3 linked regions of the Oreochromis niloticus genome follow. The protein of the gene in region 2 purifies or fractionates together with the protein of the main gene of each other region. This does not show direct contact. Links are inferred from orthologs where the notes say so. Each region holds a gene or a part of one and is shown on either strand. Other genes may lie near its edges.

Region 1 (7,605 bases), on a different chromosome or scaffold from region 2:
TCTATAGGCTGTGCTGTTTGTTATCTCGCTATAAATTTAAAGTAAAATAAACTTTATTTACAAAGTGCTTTTCAAAAAAAGTCACAATTACTATACAACAATTAATATCTTCTTGATGCATTCTCAATCATCCAGGAAAGTAAATCTCCAAAAGTTGAATCTGTTCATCTGGACGTAGCGTTTTGTGGGAGAAACGTTTCGTCACTCATCCAAGTGACTTCTTCAGTCTCAGCTGACTGCAGGTTTCCCTAAACCTTATAAACAGTACATTTGCATAATGACTGAAACCAGCCCACTGAAGGAACAATGGGCTGTGAGGTCAGTTCCTTAATCATAATTATGCAAATTCCCATGACCATTGATCAACAATCACTGACCAAAACCCACTGATCAAAGAACACTGATCAATGGCCATGAGTACCATTCACAGAGAGTTGGGGAATGGCTGCAATCACAGCATTGTAAGATGGCGAAAGATGTACCCTTAGGCCCCCTCCTCGATTCAGAGATGGTCTTTCCCTTTTCACGTAAATGGCCTCCTTGACTCCGCGCTCAAACCAGCGTTCTTCCCTGTCCAGGATGTGTACATCCTCATCGTTGAAAGAGTGTCCACTGGCCTGTAGGTGTAAATAAACTGCAGAGTCCTGGCCTGACGAGGTAGCTCTTCTGTGTTGTGCCATCCGCTTCGCTAGAGGTTGTTTGGTTTCCCCGATGTATAAATCCTGGCAATCCTCCTGGCACTTAACAGCGTACACTATGTTACTCTGTTTGTGTCGGGGGACCCGATCCTTGGGGTGGACCAGTTTTTGGCGCAGCGTATTTTGGGGTTTAAAAGCCACAGAGACCCGGTGTTTAGAAAAAATGCGTCTCAACTGTTCCGATACTCCTGACACATACGGGATCACTACAGGTTTTCACCTGGGCAGCGGTTGTCCTTCTCTCCTGGATCGGCTGGAGCTTTCTTTAGGTGCCTTCCCAGCTTTGACAAAAGTCCAGCTAGGATATCCACATTTACTCAGGGCCTTCTTGATGTGCTGTTCTTCTGCCTCCCTGGCTGCTGTGTCAGTGGGGATGGTGTTCGCTCTGTGTTGTAGCGTCCTGATGACACCCAGTTTGTGCTCCAGTGGATGATAAGAGTCAAACCTTAGATACTGATCCGTATGCGTAGGTTTACGGTACACGTCAGCTTTTAGATGTCCCCCATTACTGATGGAAATCTCACAGTCTAAGAAGGCTAACCTGCCACTTTTCATATCCTCCCTGGTGAATTTGATGTGTCGGTCCACCGAGTTAATGTGATCCGTGAAATGTAGTACGTCCTGAGATTTGATTTTCACCCAGGTGTCATCCACATATCTGAACCAATGGCTTGGTGGTGTTCCAGGGTAGGATAGCAACGCCCTCTTTTCCACTTCTTCCATGTACAAATTGGCCACGATGGGTGAAACTGGGGAGCCCATGGCACACCCATGTTTCTGCCTGTAGAACTGACCCTTGTATGTGAAGTAGGTGGAATGAAGACACAGTTCCAAAAGCAAACACACTTGGTCGATGCTGAGAGTGGTCCTGTTGCTGAGGTTGGTGTCATCCTGTAATCTCTTACGGACTACCTCCAACGCTTCCGTGACTGGGATGCAAGTGAAGAGAGATGTAACGTCGTACGAGACCATGGTTTCATCTGCCTCCATAATGACATCTCTCACCTTCTCAACAAAATCCAGGGTCATGGGAATTTGCATTATTATGATTAAGGAACTGACCTCACAGCCCATTGTTCCTTCAGTGGGCTGGTTTCAGTCATTATGCAAATGTACTGTTTATAAGGTTTGGGGAAACCTGCAGTCAGCTGAGACTGAAGAAGTCACTTGGATGAGTGACGAAACGTTTCTCCCACAAAACGCTACGTCCAGATGAACAGATTCAACTTTTGGAGAACAATTAATATCAATAGAGAACCATGCTAAAATAGAATAAAAAGGTAAGCAAAATGTATTTATATAGAGCTTTTTATCTGTGCAAAGCAATAAATATCTAGCAGAAATCGATAAAAATATAAATACCAAAAGAATCTCAACAAAAGGCGTGATAAAGCGGAAAGGTTTTCAACTGTTTTCTTTAAAAGGATTCTACCGAATCTGCTAACAAGGGGTGAAGTATTAAATTGTTTCATTGCCTTGATGCACAGACTAAGAGGATCTGTTCTCCTATGGTCTTCGGTCTTGTATAACGGAAAACTGATAGATTTTGAGCTTGTGAGAGAAGATAGCGAACAGCTGTGCATTTAACAAGAAGTTGAGATATAATATAGTCTGGAACATGTCTGTTTAGTGCTTCAAGTGTGAGAATTTTAAAAACGTGATTCAAAATCAACCGGGAACCAATGTAAAGAGAATAAAATTGGAGTAGTGTGAGCTTGCTTGCTAGAGCATTTTGTATTGCTTGGAGGTGTAAAAGAGAAGAGATGAGCCAGTAAATAGGGTATTACAAAAATCTCGGTGCAATGACACAAATACATGACTGTAGATCACAATTTCAAAACGTTCCTTAAATGAAAAAAATGAAGGTGAAAAAGATTTTATATGTTCTTTTTTCTCAGACCGTGCAGGAGTCAACAGGATTCCTCTGGTTAAAAGAGTTTCCAACTGCTTGCTCAAAGTGAATCACTGAGGTTTTCCATCCACGATGTTCTAAAGTATACTGCTTAGACAACAAAAAGTCAGGCACTCTATAATTTCGTTGGACTACCTTTAGCTTATAATGAAGGCATGTATTCGACCTGGCGTTATTTTGATAAGCAGAATCAGACTGCTGGGTAAAGTCTTTTCCAGCACATCCCAAAGATTCTCAGTGGTAAAGGTCTGGACTCTGTGGTGGCCAATCCATGCATAAGGCTGCACAGCTGTACAGCTACACACCCCAATTCCTTCAGTTCTTTTCATTGTGTGTGTGTGTGTGTGTGTGTGTGTGTGTGTGTGTGTGTGTGTGTGTGTGAAAATGCTTTTACTATCCCTTTTAACATGGCCATGAGGTTTATTGTTGCTGTTTTTATTTAATTTCACCAGATGTTTAAGTGAAATCCAATCACGATCACTCAGGATTTTTATCCAATACCATTTCTTCCTCAAAGGTGCCGGTTCATCAATAACCTTCCAGGTTTTAACAATACAGTTAAAACCTGGACAGTTCTTAACGAGAAGCTTCTCGCTGCTTCAGTTAGGGTTAAAAAGCCAGCTGAATCATATTGATCCCTGCATAAATTCTGGTTAGTTAAATACAAGCGGTGCCTTTTGTTTTTTTTCACTGGGCGGTGTATTTAACTGAGTAATAATACTCAGATTCTGTGGGACCAATAACATAACTATGAAAAACAGTGTGAATCCAACAAGTAGATGTTGATACATATAACAGGATAACTGCTGCCTTTAATCTGTTTGTGGTGCTAGAACAAAAGTCAGAGAATCAACAGACTCATTATGATTTGACCCCTGAAGACTCTGATTTTCTTCACCAAATTTCATGGCCATGCAGCCGAAGTGGTGAGGCAACCAAACCCTAGAGCCAAAAACCACTAGCAAAACTAAAAAGTCCTTGGTGTGCCCACAGTGTTACCATGTCCATTATTATTATTATTAGTAGTAGTATTATTATAAATACAGTTATTTCCATAAATACTCCTGATAAATCGTACATTGTTTTTCTCCACACTGCACATCAAATCAGCCATAACTAAGAAGAGATAAATTCGGCAGCTGGTTGGAAGCTTTGAAGCTGAACATTGGGTGAAAACCAACATTGCACCCTGATTTAGTGCCGAACTCTCTACATTTGAACACCACAAATGTGCCAAAAACACACACACACGATTAATATAATACCCCCAAAATACCAAGAGCACTGTTAATTACACCCCCCAAAAAAGACATTTAATTAAACCTAATTGAAATGAAATGCTGTCACACTGATACGGTCTCTGTTTTTGTTTACCACATTTGCTCCAGGTCATGAGGCATCAACTCACTTTTTCCAAGTCTTATTTGCATAAAGAAATGATTCATCCATGGTATTGCTTTCTAAGTGCCAGAAGCTGATATTATTAAGTAAATGTGACTCAGGTTTTTTTTTTGGGGGGGGGTTACAAAGTGAAAAGAACGGAAAACGTTTGATTAATCTTTTTTGGAAACACAACAAGTGAGAAAGCTTGCACGGGAGTAGATTTTCATCCACGTGCGAGGTGAGGTTTTCCTCGGGCTCAGAAGCAAAATGTGCTCCGGTAGTCGCATGTGCCCTGCTGCACGTATCCAGCAGGAGGGTGTTTGTTATTGTACTGACCTACTCACGACCGACTGGATAACGCAGATTCTTGCAAAACACGTTTTCGCGTTGTTGTCGAACGAGCCCCAAAAGTCTACATGTGATCGGGGTATTGAACCTTTCAGAATACACGTTATCTCTAACAGACGTGCGCTGGCACTACACGCCCTCCCGAGCCTCCTTCCAAGCCACACCTCCTCTAAAGTGACCCAAAGTTTACCGGTTTGTTTGTTTTTTTTAAACAAACGAACTGTGCCACTGACCCCATTTCCCAAAGGCTTGATATATAAGGGTGCAGAGGACTGCTGTGAGTTTAGTTACAGACGAAGAAAAGCAGCGTTTGTTTAGAGAATATCAGTGAATAATTCAACACCTAAAAGGGGTGGAGCGTGAGATCTGCCTGGTAAACGCACATTTACCTTTAAAAAAATGAGTAATATTCTAGTTGAATATAAAGCTAAAATACAGCTGTGGTACTGTGGTAGTTAAGTCATAGTTACTACTTTTATTCCGTATGTTTTTAACCGGCTCCTCTGTCTCTTAGACTTCTTTTTTACTTTCTTGTAAACTATCATAGAGAGAATACGGGCTTTTTTTTAAAGAGCCGCTGTTTGGCGTTTCCACTTTCACTTCTGCTCTCCAGCCTCCCTGTTTGTGCGTCTGTCCCGGACGAAGTGGGCGGTGGGGTGGCGTCACGTCATATCAGCCGCCTAGCTCTGATTGGCTGCCGATTCTCACCCGACACAGCTGTGATTGTTTTCTGCAGAGGAAGCTCTCGTCGGTGGTATGAGGTCTGTGCGGTGGAATGGAGGAGCACTGTGTGTTTTTTCTCTCTCGCTCTGCGTGTGTTTGCTGACGATGATGTGAACAAACAACGTGACTGCAGTTCTCTTGTTGTAAAAGAGCAGGAAAACGAGGAGGGGGGATCCTGGCTTAAATCTGCTTGCCGAGGCGCGAATGAACAGGAGAAGAGGATTCTGCTTGGAGCTGACTCTGAAGACGTCTGGAGATCAAGGTAAGCAGCCGGAACAATTTTTTAACAATTTCTTCGATTTTTTTCTTTCAACGTGAAAACAGTGGAACTCGTGTGTTGACTGTCGCGTTTCCTTTTCTAGCTTTAAAGTGCCAAATGCCTAGGCTGGAGGAGCATTGTTGGAGCTGCTCCACTTCATCAAAGACCGAAACTAAGCACCCATCATCTGGCGCAAACTGGTTGGCATCCAGAGCTGAAGAGATGATGTCGATCATCACATCGGTGCTCAGCAGTGCCTACATCTCCCTGCACGACGTCCGAACGGCCAACCTGATCCGCCGGGGTGTCGTCCTCTTCACGGTCGGAGTGTTCCTGGCCCTGGTGCTCAACTTGCTCCAGATACAAAGAAATGTTACCCTCTTCCCCGAGGAGGTGATGACAACTTTGTTTTCGTCCGCATGGTGGATCCCACCTTGCTGCGGTACAGGAGCCGGTGAGTGAATAAAAGGCTGATTTTATAAAGCTTAGTTGGTGCTTTATAAACGACCCTGCAAGGGTAGTTTTACCCGGGTGATCAGTAGTTTGCGGCTAATTTGGGGACAAAGGAATGCAGAGAGGGGAGGAGTTAGAGCGCAACAGCCTTCCCTTATAAAGAGAAAATGACACTTTAAATAATATGTGGTGTGTTTTACCGCTTGTGTATATAAAATGGGCTCTTATGGTCAGGAAATCCCCCTTTGTGAGCTGGATTTTGCCATAAGCAGCAGAAATTTAAACCGCATACAGCAGAAGCACATCCCTTTTCTCATCACCACTGTCAGCAGCATTTGTATGATCAGATGACAATGAATCACCATTCAGTTTTGTTTTTGTTTCATATTAATTATGACTCAGTTTTGAAGGCATCATTAAGTCTGGCTGTTATCAAAAAGTAAAAAAAAAAATGGCTTGGAACGGATGTTGTTTTTTATTGCGCTCTGATTGGTCGCAGCAGCCGGACACGAGGCGAGCTGCGAGCTCATTGGATGGTGTCATAACGGGTGAGCTGAGAGGGGAGGTACTTTTAAGGCCAGAAACAGGGAAGTGAGGGAAAGAAAGAAGCGCGTAAATGCTTGGCTCCTCCCCCTCCTCTCGTCATTGCATGCTGCAGGACAGAAACAAACCAAGAAATAAGAGATGTAGGCTTATGGCTTTGCACCAGGCTTCCCGTTTTAAAGCCCCAGTGTCATGCAACAGATGAAGAAAACTGTTCTTTACTTTCCCACACCTGAAGGTGATGTCATTAAATGTCTTCTTGTGCTTTATAAATAGCCCAAGAAACAGATAATATTTCAGTTTCCACAACAAGCAACTGCCACAGATCCAGTTTCTGTCAACTATCAGTTCACCAGGACAATTGATTCAGACTCATCTGAGCATGCTATTCCTAGTAGGATTGCAGCTAAAGATTGTCAATGAGGAGTCAAATGAGGTATTTTCTCAGATAAAAGCTTCTTGGAGCCCGAATAAGGTGAAAAATATACTAACAAAAGCTAGAGGGATGAAGTAAATCCTCTGACTTAAGAGCCTGGTATTAAAAAGCATCTGGTGCTTTCTGTGAACAGTTTTGTTTTTTTAAGTGACGAATCGAATGTCAAAATGGTTTCGTATTCATTGTCCCGTGATCCAGGTAATAATTCCTGTAACTCCACTTCTTGTAAGATATCCACTGTGTATTTCCTTTTTACATTATAATAGTGTGGTTACATAGTTTCCTTCACGAATTCTTGGACTTTTAATGACAGTATGTAGAAGAAAATGATTGGTACACACAAAGCAGGGAGTTGCATTAAAAAGTCACACTTAAAAAGTAAAAGACAACTTTAAAATTAAAGCTAATGTTTATGCATATTCCTCATGTGGGGGTTTTGAAGTGCATGTACAGCAGGTGTGTCGCTAACTGTGGAAATGCACCTTCAGCAGTTTGTCTCTATGACACAGTTTGCCCTATTTTTATTTCACAGAAGTTCTGCTTATCTGGCACAATTCAAGACTGTTTGTTCCCTTTTTTGATTTTTTTTTTTGCAGCTGTTATCGGCCTGCTGTATCCCTGTCTCGACAGCCACTTGGGAGAGCCGCACAAGTTCAAGAGGGAATGGGCGAGCGTCATGAGGTGTATCGCTGTGTTCGTCGGTATCAACCACGCCAGTGTTGTATCCTTTCGCCATGTCCCGTGCAGCACTCAAATGCACTTTTGCTACTTTTGTGATACTTTGTTTGTTACAGTAGAGTGGAAAAGTACACCAGTAATTAACTGAAGTTTGGCTGCTGTCTGCATCAGC
Region 2 (7,526 bases):
GCTAATGAAAAACATTGATCAGGCAGCTGTGATTGAGCAGTGGTGTAAATCCAACTATTTTCACGGTTGTTGTGGTCGTGATAATTTTGTGAGGCCACATCGAAAAGGCTCGGATGAGCTTTCCAAAGTTCTACAAGTTGTGCCTCCATCATTTGTGTCCAGATCACACGCTGCACAGCCGTGCTACTCCGTCTTTTCACCGACGTTTATGTGTTTGCGTGTGCGCAGTGTGAGCGGCTGCGGTGACACCCTCACGACAGTCGGGCGATTGATGGTCGGGAGCTGGTCATGAGGTGTTAATCGCTTCTCGTTACCCCACGTATACTACACGATGAACGACGCACGATGAAGGCCAAACTCGGGCCGATCACCAAAACGGTCGCACGACTCAAAACTCGGCTCAAAATGGGCCAAAAATCGCACAGTGTAAGCCCAGCATTAATTACTAATTAGATATTTAGATGTATTTAATATAACATGATATAGGATAGATTTCTATATCCAATTGTGGTCAGATGTTTCCATAAAATCATTATGAGCATGAATGTCATTGTAATTTTGTGTTTTTAATTATTTTATTTGAACTGTTCTTTTTCTGGGGTGGAAGACTGTACAGTACACATCTTGGATCGCTTAAAAAAAAAAGAAAGAAGAAAAGTAAGAGTTTGGTGCACAAGTTATTTCTATTTTGGACTTTCTCTAATCCACAAGGCTCACATGTATATACAGGCACAGATTTACACATACAGGCCTGCTTATATTTGGTTTAATGTCTTTTAATTAAGTAGCACCCACAAGCTTTGATATTTGACCACTTTTCGTGGCAGAATTGGCAGAGTTCACTTAAATTATTTGGGTTCCGGCACAGACTCGGCTTTTAAACAGAGTTTCAAGTTTCAATAGGTGAGGTCGGGGCTTTGAGAAAACTACTCCAGAGCATTGACGCTAGACTGTTTTATCTGTTCTAAAAAAAGTTTTAATGTGTGTTTGGGATCACTGTCCTATTTGAACACACAGTTGTGTCCAACTATTAACCATCTAGCTGCTAATTTGAGGTGGAAAATTTGGAGTTAGCCGTCTTTCTTCATTACTCCATCCACTTTGTGCAGTGTGCCAGTAACAGGGCAGCAAAACAGCCCCAGAACATGTCGTCACCACCACCATTCTTGGCAGCTGGTTCAGTAGGTTTGAAAGCCTTGCCTTGACCACTTCAAACATATATTTTGTCGTTGTGATCAAATAACTAAATCTTGGCCTCATCTGACCCTAAAACTTTTCTCCAGAAGGCATTTGGCTTGCCCATGTGGACAGCTGCAAATTTCAGTGAAGCTTGCAGGCGTCGATTTTGGAGCATCACTTCTTTCTTGGTCAACATCCTCTCAGTACATGGTGATGTAAAACTGGCTTTACTGGTATTCCTGCAGTTTCTGGTTGATGGCAGGCTTGAGTCTTAGTAGTTCCTGAACATCCCATTATGAATTTACTCTCATCTGAGGGGTAACAATTTGCCAAGGTCTGGAAGAAGACTCCAAGTGGTGACACGTGTGAATAACTCCACCTACGTACAGCTGTTTGAGATGATGATCCTGGAACGGCTCCAAGAGATCTTCCCAAATTGTGAAATTCTCCTTCTTAGATCTGCACCGTGCTCCTTGAACTTTCTCACTGTGCTGAGTATTAGTGAATACAGTTAGTGCTGCCAAATAAATCTTTTTTATGCTGGCAAAGAGAACCTACCAGTCATGAGGACTAAATTAAAAGTCCTTGGCCTTGTCGAGTTAAAACAAATTGTAGAACCTTTGGCGCCATTTATGGAAAAATCTAAGTGAGTCTATGAGATATTTGAGCCTGTATGTACACTCTTGACCTTGTGTGGATCACAGAAAATCCCAAATAAATTCAAATTTGCAGACCCAACCCTTGTTTTTATAAAATCATTCAAGCTGACTATACAACCATTCCACACTAACAGCTCACTGAAAACTCCAAATTGCATCCATCACATTTATGCCCCTGCCGAGTGTGCGTAAACTTGTGACCACAACTGCAAACTTCCTGTTGACTAACTTGACCTGATGGAGCTAGATACGGAGCCATTGCAGCTTTGCTTAGTAAGGATTTGCAGAGATGCAATCTGGTAACCCTGCTACCTCAAATGGCTTTTATAAATACAATGCTTAAAAACATATGGAGAGATATAATCCAATGTTGATTTCTCTACTGATCTACAACCTTTTGCTTTTTAATATACAATAGTGTTGGATATATTCATTAATGCTGCGCACTTTAAAAACAATGAAACTGGGTTTTCTTCTCGTATTAAACGTTTAAAACAAGTTGTGTGCACAGCTTCCTCTGATAAACGAACACACCACCATTGCAGCATTTCAAAGTTCAAGTTAACGTTGGATTAAATTTAAAACACACTTAGGCGAAACATGTACGCCGAATAATAGGAAAGACCCTAAACATCTGACTGTAGCATGAAAATTATTAAAATGTGACAGCCACCTAAGACATACAACTAAACCAAATGAAAAACTCCAAAAATTTGAATGGGATTCAGATTCATGGGCTTCGTGGCTTAGCAACAGCGGGATATAAGTTGTTACATCATTGCTGCCTCACAGAAAGGAGCCTCTTTCAGTGGTAGATCTTATCCAGATGTTTCAACCTTCACTTGAGTGTCCGTTTTAAAAGCTTAACACGAGGCCAAACACTAAATCATGTTTAGCTAACACTGCTAAGTAAAACAACCTTAGCCAGTCTCTTTCCTTCTAATATGCTAGTGGCATGTGAAACGGCCATGGTACATAGTTTAAATATGCAGAAAGGCACATTTCTGTAGCTCAACAATATCTTACCTGCAGTTTCTGCTAAGATGACAGCAACACAAATAAGAAACACCTCCGGTACTTTCTTTTTCGTTTTCCTTTTGACTGTGCGGCATCTTTTGCTTTTTTGTACCTGCGCCCTCTGGCGGACAACCAGCAAACCGCATGTGCCTCACTGAGCCAGGGCTATCTACGGGGTCAAGATGCAGTTTTGTTATGTTAGTGTTGTAGGCCAGCTGATTCACTGTGTGCGCCACAGTTTTAATATCGTGGGGTTATTATCACGTGATGCTGATTAGGTGACACCTCTGACACCGCCACAACAGGAAAGAGAGCCACAGACTATGGTTAAAACCCAAAGGCCCCTTTTTACAGTGGTTTGCTGTGGAGTTACTACATGTTTGCGCAGACCAAAGCAAATATTTTATAACTGTATATATTTATAGGAGAAGCTAGGATTACCTGTAAATACCCAATATAATGGCTCTTTCAGCACTATCATATAGGCTGACACATTTCGGTCTTATGTATCACTTAAACATCACAGCTCTATCACTAAACGCCTATGTGGTGCTTTTAAATACTAAATACCTAGAGCTAAAGCACAGTTACCGATGAACTTATCAATGTGAAAGTGAATAAAGCATTTTAAATGAAATACTAGTATTCTCCTAATAGGTGCAAGTGTAGAAGAAATGGGTTCTTTCACCAATAACTAAAACTCACTGTTAAATTCACTTTACTTAATGCCCCATATATAGTCTGGGTCAGACTATAGCCTGCATATAAAATATGCAGGCTTTGTATAGAGTATTTGGTTGACCTGTTTAAAAAAAACAAACCCAAAACAAGCAAGTTTTAAAACATGTAACATGCGAGGAAAAATCATTTACAGAGCAGAATGAGGACAGCAATAAGTGCAACTTCAGCTTTTTGTCTTATTATATTTGCCAAAGACGACATGTGTGTGTCATTCTTTCTGTCTGTAAACATGACAGCTTGAAATGTTTTAAATAAATCTCAGCCAGAGACTGAACAGGTTGGTCCGGAGGCCCAGCTCTCTTCTAGGATGCCCTCTGGACCCAGTGGAGGTGGTGAGTGACAGGAGAATGGTGGCTAAGCTGTCTTCCCTGCTGGACAACATCTCCCACCCCGTGCAGGAGACTCTGACAGCACTGAGCAGCTCCTTCAGTGGCAGGCTGCAGCACACACGGTGTGGGACGGAGAGATTCCACAGGTCTTTCCTTCCTACTGCTGTCAGACTCCACAACAAACACTTCACAGCTGACCAAACACACACACATGTGCAATAACACTAAGTGCAATCCTCTTTGTCTGACAACATAGCATAACATGTATGCATCGGCTCACTCCCGGTGGCTGTTTATCGGGGCCTGGCACCTGTGGCTTGGTCGGGCCCCTTCGGGGGGTGGTGTGCCCTCAACCTCTGGGCCTGGGGCTTGGTCCACTCTGGCACAGCTGGCTGCCAGTGGAGCTCGCTGGCATGTCACTACAATCCCCCTTCAGGTGTGAAAACGGGTGTAGGTCACAATCAGCCAGGGTTTCGGGTGAGCTCATTGGGAAACCTGGCCCCACCCTATCATGTGATTTCCTGAGGTCAGATGGCCCAGGATGTGAGTGGGCGTTAAGGCATCTGGGAAGGTATCTCAAAACTGGATTATAGATGGCAGACAGTTGGTGTCTTAAACCACCGCCTCTGTTCAAAGATGGTCGTTCACAGTGGACATAGATGGCTTCTTTTACTCCTCTTTCAAACCATTTGTCCTCTCTGTCCAAAATGTGAACAATGGCATCCTCGAAAGAGTGACCTTTGTCCTTTAGGGGGTCCTTTTGTCCCTCTTGGGGGGACACTCCCGTAGGGTTTAAATCTGGGATTCTCCACCGTGTGACCTTGGAACTGAAGAAGCTTCTCGGATGAGAGGTGAAACATCTTCAAGCAACTTGAATCCAGACACTTTTCTTTCTAAGCTCCTTAGACTACAATGACCTGGATGACTGAGAACCTTCACAGACATCCTATTCCAGTGTTCTTCTTAACTTTTGCTACTGTAACTTTGCACTGTCCATTTTCTGCTGTGACACAACAAATTTCCCAAGTGTGGGACTAATAAAGGTTATCTTATATTATCTTATAAAACCTTGTACAGGTTAGAGGTGGGTCATGTTAACAATCCACTAAAATTTGACGTCTTTTTGATGAGGTCTTCAAGGTCAACTTAATGATTTATTGGTCAAAAATGAACAAAAAAACCTTATAATTTAGAAACTGTGAAGATTACAAGTGTGCTCTGTATTGTCCACATATAGAAAGTACAGTATAAAAAATTAAAATATCATGTCACATTTGACCTTTGACCTCTCATTCAAGATCAATAGATTGATCTGAAGGTCAAAGTGATAATCATGCTATATAGTATTACTATATAGTACAATTTAAAACTATGCAACAGACAAACTGCTACAGTTCAGTGAGTGTTGAAGGAGAACCCAAATGCAGACACAGGAAGGCAGGTGGAAATGAACAAAAGGCAAGTTTTTTATTAAGCTGATGTGAAAACTAGCCACAGAAAAATACAAATTCAATGGGAAAATAAGAACGAAACCAATGTTGAGCAAGAAAACACGAGGGAACTAAACAACACACTCTGCCAAAGGACAGGGGAGACTGAGACAGGAGGGTGATTAGGGGAAGTGGAGACACATGGGAAACACAGCCGGATCAAATCATCAATAACGAGATGGGAAAGTTAGGCCCAACAGAACACACAGTAGACAAGAGAGGATCACAATAAAACAGAAAACATTACTAATACTAAGACTGCGACTAGGATATGCAGACTTGACACAGGGACAGATCCACACAGAGAAAAAACACAGACCAGACAGACAAGGGGGCCTGACCGAGGGAAACAAAGAGATCACAAAACTAAATGTTCCAGACCCAGGAAGGGCCAGAAGATAAACTGAGACTACAAAGGATATGCTAAGAAAACTAACAGATATATTCATTTGTAAAGAGAGACAAACAAGAGTGTAGGATTCTCACAAAAACTTAAGACATCACAAAACCCAAAATCTATAAAGAAATAAGCACAAAGCCTTATTCTCAATACAGGGAACCATACATGGGATTCTAAATATCACATTACTTTGAACCTCTGACCTCTTCTTGAAGGTCAAATATGTATTATTATGACCTTAGATTATGATTAAAATTCTGCTGCCTTTGTTTCTATTGGGAACACTGATAAAATGATGCTGGTTTATGGAGATTCTGAACGTCACATTATAGTTTGCATTAAAATATTATGTCACATTTGACCTCTGACCCTTTTTAATGTTACACAGCTGCTTTTCTTTGACCACAAAATGTGTGTGTGTTTTTTTTTTACTCCACTATAAATTTCTATGAATAGATGCAAAATATAATAATTCCATTTAAAGTGAATACTGGCTTTGGTGCTTCTTGTTTCATGTGCACTGCATTTCACAGCTGATGTTTAAAAGCACAAAACCTTAGCATGTACAGCTTTTGAAAGTACATAACTGATCTTCACTCACTCCACAGCAGGTTTTATGCTTTGCAAAGCCATCCAGAGGGCAACACTTGACCTACTGTAAGACCAGTTCAGGCCCTCATGCTGGATGTTTGATGCTTCCACCGTAAACCTAATAATGCTGGCTGGGTCTGTTGACAAAATCATAACATATCAAATGCCACTGTTGGCTCTATTTTTACACTCCTTGCAGTTGTTGCCATTGCCCATTGAGGCTGCATCAGCCTGAGTTGAGTTTACGAGCTGGAACTCGTACTAACGAGCCCACATAGCATTTGATCCAACATTACGAATTAGAAATGAAGGTGAAAGCTCACAAGTGCAAAGCTTCACCCACTTTCTTTAAGTAAACAGCAGGTGGCGACAGAGACCATTGGAAGAGCACTGCTTCATTTCTCCCAGGACACCATGCAGAAAGCTTCATTTTCCTGCTACTTCAGCCTGCCCAGATTTGAACATTTCACAGGCAGTCCCTGCTGGTGAAACAGATAAGGCTGACCATGGAAAAACCCAACCAAACGAAAGTCTTACGTCTAATAACAAAAATGAAATAGGGGGCAATTAGAAAAGAAACATCAGTTAATCTTTAATCACCAACAACCCACTAGCGGTTGTACACAGCTAGAGGTCTTGACACGTTAATGGTTGTGGTGCTTTATTTTTAGACGTTGGCCTACTGAGAAATTTGCACAGGACTAGAGCTAACCCCAAGGTGCCGCAGTGGCAGCTCTGTGTTGTGCATTTTAAACAGAGAGGGGCGGGGTGGTGGAGGGTAAAGGGAACAACAGAGCAAGGGAAAAGAAGTTTGTCAGAGTTCATTAAGTATCAAGGGAACATCGCTGGAACTGGCAGCGTAAGCCGCGCCGGGGCCCTAGTGCCATTAATCACGACTGACAAGAAACCAGGGGCCGAGGGAGGAGGTGGAGGGGAGTGAGGGGAGGAGAGCTCTGCCAGAGACTCTGGTAGTGATTATAGAACGAGGTCCAGGCAGCCCGGGCCAGGGAAGGTAAAAGACACCGCAGCTGAGGCTGCAAAGTTCAGCTACCTTCATGCAGATCACACTCGCTCGCACACACAGGTAGACGGAGAAGAGAGACGTCAGACTCGAGGCTGC
Region 3 (7,825 bases), on a different chromosome or scaffold from region 2:
TAACATCCTGAAACAATCGGTCTGTAAATACGAGGCGGTCCGTCCTGCTGTTCCCGTGTCCATGTGTTGTTGCATGTGATGTTTCTAAATCGGCGCGCTCTCATCTGAATGTAAAACCATGAAGCATCATATGAGTGTATAAAGTGCTGCTATAAAAAGAGCTGAAGAAGCTGTTTCAGGTGCATGCTCTGTGGTTCCAATTAAAGCTTGTTCTTCATCACTGTGTCTTCCTCTTTTCTTACAATGATGCCTTCTTGGCTCTCAGTAATAACTGTTAATCCCAGTTGTTTCCTGTTATGCAGAGGATGAAGCCGATTCTGTGCTGCACTAACTTTTCCACAGATGATGTGATGAAGACATCCCTCAGACTCTTCGTCAACTCGTTAATTTCCTCTTTCATCCTCTCTCAGTCTCTCCATCATTTGAGCTTCCTGGAGGTTTTGGTCCCATGGGGAGTTTGCTTAAACTGACCAATTAGTGCTGAGAGACCAGCAAGGCATTTACAGGCCAGAGCACTGCCTTGAGACACTATTAAGAACCTCCAGTCCAACCAATCTCAGCTCAACTGGGTGGGACGTACAGCTCATTCAACATCTCACTATTATCAGAACATCTTCAGCATCAGCGTGAGGATGACGGTGGTTTTGGCGCTCCTGAGTTGTTCATCATAAATTATGATGGCGCGCTCAGAGCTGCCATCATGACTCGACCCTTCGAATTGTCACAGACTCTCAGCAGGACCTTCTTCATGTTTTCAAAGCCTAAACAAGAAAAGGATGCTCTCTCTGGTTCTCAGCCTTCATCACAGTGAAAGCACCTGACCAGCAAGTCCAGGACAATGGCGTTTTGTACCTCGGCTCATGCTATACTCAAACAAAAAAGCTGAAACTGATCTCAGAGGTCAGGAGAGCAGTCGCCCCCTGTTGGGTGTTAGAGAGAATATGTCGATCTGCATCCGTCTTTATTTACAGTGTGGGGGAAAGAAAAGAGACATGAAACTGCATCATCACTGATCAGAGTATCAATCAGTTATTGATGATTATTAGTTAAAGTGCTGAGCTGAACCAGCTGGGCTTTTAAACATGTTTCAGCTCTTCTGAGGCAGATTGCTGATGGGGAGTCGTGGGTGTTCAACCTCCAGCAGGTACAGCTTTGTATGTGGCAGCTGTTTCCTGTCACCATAGTGCAGCGTCATGGCCAGCCTGGAAAACCTGGAATTTTCTTAAAACCCAACAGCTGTTGGTTTTTACAGAATTGCATGCAGTTACATTTGTGTGGCCGAATACCAGCATTGCCCCAGCCCATCATCATACGAGTCATTAAGATCACACAGGTTAGGGTGCAGATGGTGGTTAAGTTGCCCAGGGAGGGGCCTCAGGGTTACAGGGGGATTATAGGTGCTGTCAGTCCTCCACCTATCAACAGCTTCATTAGGACTGAGCAGGTTGGAGACACCGATGTCCAGCTCAGGTAAGTCAGGTGACCACATCTGTCTCACAGAGGTTCAAGGATCAATAGCAGAACCAATCACACACGCAAACAAGCTGCCTAATGTCCTGCACCTTCAGCTCATTATGCAGTTTCCATGGCAACAGTGATGTTGAGATAAGATCCAACACACATCACTCCCTCCTTTAGCAGTCCCCACACTCGCCCATGCCTCCATCTCCTCCTGTCACACGGACCCTCTGCATGGCCTTCACTACATCCATGAACCTCTGAGCTCTTTCTCTTCTCCTCCTCCCTGAAGCTCCATCTTCATCTTTCACCCTCCTTCCTCTGCACATGCATGCCTCTCTCAGCCTTTCTGACTTTGAGCCGTCTGTCTGATGGACTCATTTCTGATCCTGTTCATCACAGCAGGTCTCACCGCCATCTTTAAACCTTCCCTTTCAGTCTTGCTGCTATCCTTCTATCATGAATCACCCTGACACTAATCTCCACTTGCTCAACCCTGCATGCATTTCCTCACCTCTCTGTGGATGGCTTAGGCGCCCCCTGCTGGATGCAGAAGTTCATCACAAATTTTGTCTTTGCAGGACCTCAGTTCAAAAACCCCGACTAGAATCAAACCAGGATGAACACACACACACACACACACACACACACACACACACACACACACCTCCCTCCCACTCATCTCACTCTTCATTTCCTGGAGGCCATCCAGCAGCCAGGGTGTTACCAAGGCAACAGAGACTGGGAAAATGTGTGTGTGTGTCCTGATCAGGTTTTCTGCTGACAGATGGCGCCCCCTTCAGTCTGACAGTGGAAACACAGCTTCCGTCCAGGGAGGAATTGATCAGTGATCAGTGATTCACTATGAGTTGAGTCTGATAAGAACACATGCTGTGATGTCATTCAATAAAACTTCATTTACACACCGTCAGCTCACAGCAGACCGTAAAGAGTGTAAAGGACAAGGGGTGGAGTCAGAAACCACGAGGCCCACCTGCAGAAACGTACAGAGAGAATGAGTCTACAGCAGCATAAGTAGATCAGGTTTGCTTATCAGGACTGACTGTGATGAGTGTGGAGACTGAAGCTTTCAGTTCCTGTGTCTTTTTGGCTCCTGGTAATCTCACCTGATTGTGAAGCTTCATCTGAAATAATATAATTAACTTCAATAATATATCTCAATTACTGTATTTTTGACTGTTCACTGTCAATCTGCACACTGCTAATTTCTTTAGTTTTGTTCTTCTATTTGGTCAGGAATTGCACAGCAATAAGGATTTCACTTCATGTCGTACTGTGTATGATTGTGTATGTGAAAAATAAAATTTAAATTTGAATGAACTTTGATGTGAAACCTCAGAGTTTCTGACCTAGAATAAAGTTAAAAAAGAGTTTTCATTCTGACAGTTAAACACCTGCCCTGTTTCTGATGTCTGAGGATGATGATGAAAGATGACGAGAGTAATGAATATCTCAGGTTTGAGGATTTCACATCTTCAGTCTATTTCAGGAAAAACTGATGAATCATTGGCCACATTATTAAGTATTATTAGTCCCTTATTTATCCAGGTAAAAAATCTCATTGAGATTAAAAATCTCATTTCCAAGAGACACTAACTTCACTCAGAGACGGAGAAAGATAAAAAAGACAGGACAGGAGAGGAGAGGAAAAAAAAGAGGTTAGATTTAAAGATCTGCTCATATAAAGCTTACATGCAAGTCCTCGTGTTTAATCACATATTGTTTTTGATGTGTTTTTATAAATTATGTATTTTCATTTTGTGAAACTTCCTGTGAAACAAACTAAGTATACTAATTTTGTGTTATTCAAATGTTTTCTGACAATTCTGGGGAGTTTTGTGTAGGATAAACAGGTTACTTTGCAATACAGTGGTGAATTCACAGTAAAGCACTTTGCTGTGGTGCACTTTGCTATGGTGCTGTGGTGATCAGTGTTCAGCAGCATGTAGCAGAGATTAATTTACATGTAAGATGATGATGTTTAGATTTGTTCACTGAATTCAATTGTTATAGTGACTTTATACTGTCTGGTACAAAGATGGCATTCAGTATACTGTTAATGTAGAAATCAGCCGAGACAGCTGCAAAACATCTGCTCACATCTGGTTGAATTCAGGTGTGTAAATCCACAAAGAGCAGCCGGTCAGCTGATCACAGCCTGTACATAATTTTACGGATTTGTTGTTAGCGCTACTTTGTTGTACTTTGTCTGAAGGTGTGCTAAATTTATAGTTTTTTATTTATAATTTTTGTCTGACCTGTCAGGGACTACAGATGAAAAGTAGCCTTCTGGCTAAATCTGGCATATTTGCATTGATATATGTTCATTAATACACACTGTCCCTTTTAAATCAATAAATGTAAAACAATTCAAACACTAAGAAAATCTGCTGGAGCTGTCAATAGAAATGATTGTGAGCGGAGTATTTTCCCCACACAGATCTTAGGGTTCCTCCACCTGCTCAGTCAGCTGAACGATGTGAATGCATATCGTATGAAGTATGAAGATGTTTTATTGTTCTGCTTGATGGAGAGACCTCCATCCTCATGGGCAGAGTTCACCTTGTCAAAGTGGGTGGGAACAACCCAACACCTTTAGTTAATGAACGGTTAAATCTGATTAGATTGTAATATGCGTGAACCAGCTGATCACTTAGCTTCCAGTGACAGCATGGAGACACCTGTTAAGTAATGATGACGTGTGACATCAGCTTCGTCACGTCTTTATCTCGTCCCTTTGAAACATTCACATATAGAAACGTGTGACAGGAGCTGAAGCTGTGTAATGTTTAAGTGTGAGGTAATCAGTCAGCTCAGCAAATATGAGCAACACAAACTGTGTCTGTGCAGTTTATCAGGTCTGAGAGTCCAGCTGCTGTATTTACACACACTCAGGGTCTCTGAGAGGACGAGAAGCTCCCATGTGCTGTTCAGAGGTCTTAATCAGACATTAGATCTGTTATATGAAGAACACGCCGTACTGGCAGCTCAGTGCTGGTTAGTCTACAGTGATTGGCTGATGCAGAACAGCTGTTCAGTGTGACGTCTGTGAAACGTCTTCTCAGATCCACAGAGAACAGCAGGTCAGCTGATCACAGCCTCACATCATGTAACTTATTTCTGTGATTCTTCCCCCACCTTCTCACCCGAGGCTCCTCCATCAGCTCAATCCCAGTTTTTGGACTCGTGACACTCGTGGACCAGTGACGTATCAGCTGTTCACCGTTAATAAACGTGCAGAAGCTTCCTACCAGCACGAGGCGCCTGCCAGGCAGCGCTCAGGGACATAAGAACCCCAGCCGTGGTTCACTACTTCCGGTATTAGGACGTGTATTTCCGGTCTGAGTGACGCTCTGACAGTAGTCAGACTCTTATCCTCCGTTAGCTTGTGTTAGCCGCCGTTTAGCCACAGTTTCCGGGTTTTGACCTCACCTTGTACTCCGGTTCCGTGTACCCGGACCCTCCGTCCTTTCACCTGTCGGCTGGGACCGAGACGGCTCCCGGTTCTGTCCGGTCCGGCTGCCTCCGGACTCCGCCTTTAGCCGCAGAGCTAACCCTGCTGCTAGCGCTGCTAACTGCTAACTGTGGCGTTCGTGGGTAAGCGAGAGAAACAACGAAGAGGCCGCGCACAGGTGAGTCAGCGTCACCTGCCGCTGGTGAGGGTGTCTATGGATTACACACGCGGGGTGGCGGGGCGGGGGGACAGCTGCTTGAAGCAGCCACCACACACCTGAGCCTGCCAATCAGGATCAGCTGATCAGAATACACACACACACACCACATTTCCGGGCTGACGATCAGCTGATCACATCACCTGTCCTGAGGCGCAGCAAGTGGAGCAGTGAGAAACTTTATTTATTTTCGTTAAACTTTATTCAGACAGGAAGTTAGTGAGGATCAGACTGAGCTCAGAGGCTCCTCCCGCTCTCACAGGTAGCTGCATGTTCTTCAATGTCCAGGAGTCCCCTGCAATCCTGAGCTGGTCACGTGGTGAACGATCATGTCACACCCTGAGACCCTCATAGTCTTGTTATGGTGACCCTATGGTCCCAATCCTGCTGTCTTTATGGCAAAAAGTCACTAAATGCCACTTCCTGTTTCACCTGAGACCTCACAGACTGTAAATAAAGATGGAGAGCTGCATGCTCTCTGATGTCCAGGAGGGGGGCGCCTGCTGAGGTTCCCACACTAAGAACAGCCTCTCACACCTGTCATTGAGAGCGGCCTCAGGTCTGTGGCTCACAGGTGAGATTAATGGAGACATGAGTCAGCTGACTCAATGCTGATGAACCACATGTCTCAGATGTTCTTCCTGAAGTCATCAGTATTTATGTGTACCTGTGGGGCGGTGGGGGGGGATAAGCTGGTCTGTGGTGTCTCACCTGGAGATCGTCAGGCTGCAGCTGGAGGATGCAGAAGATCCTGGTGATCTCAGTCTGTAGTTTTTGCAGACCTGCTGCCACAGCTTATCCATCATCATCATCATCATCATCATCATCAGTCTGAGCTCACCTGAGCTCCAGGAGTTTCCTTCATGAAGGAATTTAAAAGTATTCCCTCAGAAAACATCTAAACCTCTAAAAACAGCTCCCTTTACCCGTGAAATCACGGTGGTAAGAAATGCTGGTCGGACTCAATGTGAAGCTTGGATTTTGGATGCTGGGAGGGGAGAAGATGAAATGAAGAAGCGATCCTGACGTGCACACTTAGGTGCAGTCCTGCTACTTCCTGTTTCCTACTTACCTGTCACTGTCATTTCACTGCTTGTGTTTTTAGGATGGGCTGATTCACTATTTACTGTTGCTGTTACTAGGGATGAACATTTATAAGAATTTAGCAATTCTGATTCCATTATTGATATCACTTATTGATTTGATTCCTTATTGATTCTTATTGGCTGTGCTTTGAGAGTCTCCACCATATCAAAGACATTAGCCATGCACATTAACTGCACCCTGTGGGTCACATGTTTGTCCATGTTGACGGTATTTCCTCTTTTTGTTATGATCAGTGCTGGAGTCATTACTCAAGAAAAGTAATCTATTACTCATATTACACAGAATATTTCCTTAAAAGCTATGTAATGTGTGACTTAATTACTCTCTGGAGAAGGTCATTCACTACATTACTCATTACATTACTTTCATGTTACTCCTTAAAATGACCTGAAACACAATGTCTCATAATTACGATTTAACAATATAAACATGCTCATCAGTTTGTTACCTGCAGTTCAGGCTGTGGCTGCTGCGCTGAGGTCTGCATATATCACTCTGGGTTCCTGGCCTGCTTAGCGTTAGCATGCTGGCTGCACAGGTGCTTGTAAAGAGCCATTGTGTTAGAAGCATAATGCAGTTGTTTCTGTCCCGCACGCAGTCTCCACTTTACCATCTTGCTCTTGTCCTTTTGTGGAATAAAAAGAAAAGTATCCATGCTGTAGACTGAGCTGCTATTTTCCTCTGACACAAGAATTGAAATCAGCTGATCGTAGTGTGAGTACAAGAATCCGTAAGCGGAATTGATAGCTCCTGGAATTCTAAGGAATTGGACAACTGTGAACTGGTCCTTTTACAAGAATCTGTACAATTCTGATCCCTAGCTGTCATTAAATTGAGCCTGTCTGTTTCCTGCCTCACTCCCACTTTAATATCAGCTGCTAGCTTTATGATAACAGTTAGGTTGGGGGAAGAGCTAATCCTAACACTAACCTGTCGCAGGCAGGTAAATGTTTAATAAAAAAGGAGCTTCTCTGAATTCATTAAATTCCTCCTAAAGATGGACTGACGGTCTCTAAGGTGCTTCTTCAGGTTTACTACTGTCCACCTGCTGCTAGTGATGGGAGGAGCTGTGTCAGCTTGAAAAGTTGAGGATGATGCTGCTGTTATTGATGCAGAGGAAAGTAATCGATAGTTTTTTGGTATCAGTTCTCTTTGCTAGCCTTGCTCGGTACACACTCTGCATTGCTGAGGAAAAAATAAAGTACTGCCGTTGGGGGTGGGGGTTAAGTTCTTCAGCTCAGTCTTTCTCTGTAATAAAATCAGCCACTCTGCTGAGATCGCCCTCAACACTAAATGTGATTGGTCAGATGCTGACACCTTTGACTTCTGGTGTCAAGCAGGTTCAGGTCCTAAAGCACAGAGATTAGATCATCAGTGTCTCTGTTTCTCTGATCTGATTAAAAAAAAAATTACCTGCAGGTTATTGATCTCATGTCATCTGAGTGGATGAAAGGTTGGATCGGTTGTTGGTGATGCCTGCTGGTCCCGCTGAACTCTGGGTAAAAAGTCTGCAGGTGAACTACAGAGATGACTTTATTTAAACAAGCCATGTTAATCAATACTCGTGT

The links.
Region 1: the proteins of erlin2 (region 2) and insig1 purify together in Homo sapiens (affinity purification with western blotting; 4 studies listed by BioGRID and IntAct, with this or other methods). This does not show direct contact. The link is inferred for Oreochromis niloticus from reciprocal best matches to the Homo sapiens genes ERLIN2 and INSIG1.
Region 3: the proteins of erlin2 (region 2) and tmem259 purify together in Homo sapiens (affinity purification with mass spectrometry; 3 studies listed by BioGRID and IntAct, with this or other methods). This does not show direct contact. The link is inferred for Oreochromis niloticus from reciprocal best matches to the Homo sapiens genes ERLIN2 and TMEM259.

What each region holds. Positions count from the first base shown.
Region 1 is NC_031974.2:16,865,516-16,873,120, reverse strand, and holds the start of insig1 (insulin-induced gene 1 protein), read left to right. Parts: upstream 1-4,591; 5' UTR 4,592-4,714; intron 4,715-4,954; 5' UTR 4,955-5,097; coding exon 5,098-5,102; exon of another isoform or gene 5,103-5,129; intron 5,130-5,214; exon of another isoform or gene 5,215-5,219; coding exon 5,220-5,326; intron 5,327-5,426; coding exon 5,427-5,777; intron 5,778-7,351; coding exon 7,352-7,476; intron 7,477-7,605. UniProt on the Homo sapiens protein: Oxysterol-binding protein that mediates feedback control of cholesterol synthesis by controlling both endoplasmic reticulum to Golgi transport of SCAP and degradation of HMGCR.
Region 2 is NC_031977.2:6,880,843-6,888,368, reverse strand, and holds the start of erlin2 (erlin-2), read right to left. Parts: upstream 3,013-7,526; 5' UTR 3,002-3,012; coding exon 2,865-3,001; intron 1-2,864. UniProt on the Homo sapiens protein: Component of the ERLIN1/ERLIN2 complex which mediates the endoplasmic reticulum-associated degradation (ERAD) of inositol 1,4,5-trisphosphate receptors (IP3Rs) such as ITPR1.
Region 3 is NC_031986.2:36,032,789-36,040,613, forward strand, and holds the start of tmem259 (membralin), read left to right. Parts: upstream 1-4,811; 5' UTR 4,812-5,111; intron 5,112-7,825. UniProt on the Homo sapiens protein: May have a role in the ERAD pathway required for clearance of misfolded proteins in the endoplasmic reticulum (ER). Promotes survival of motor neurons, probably by protecting against ER stress.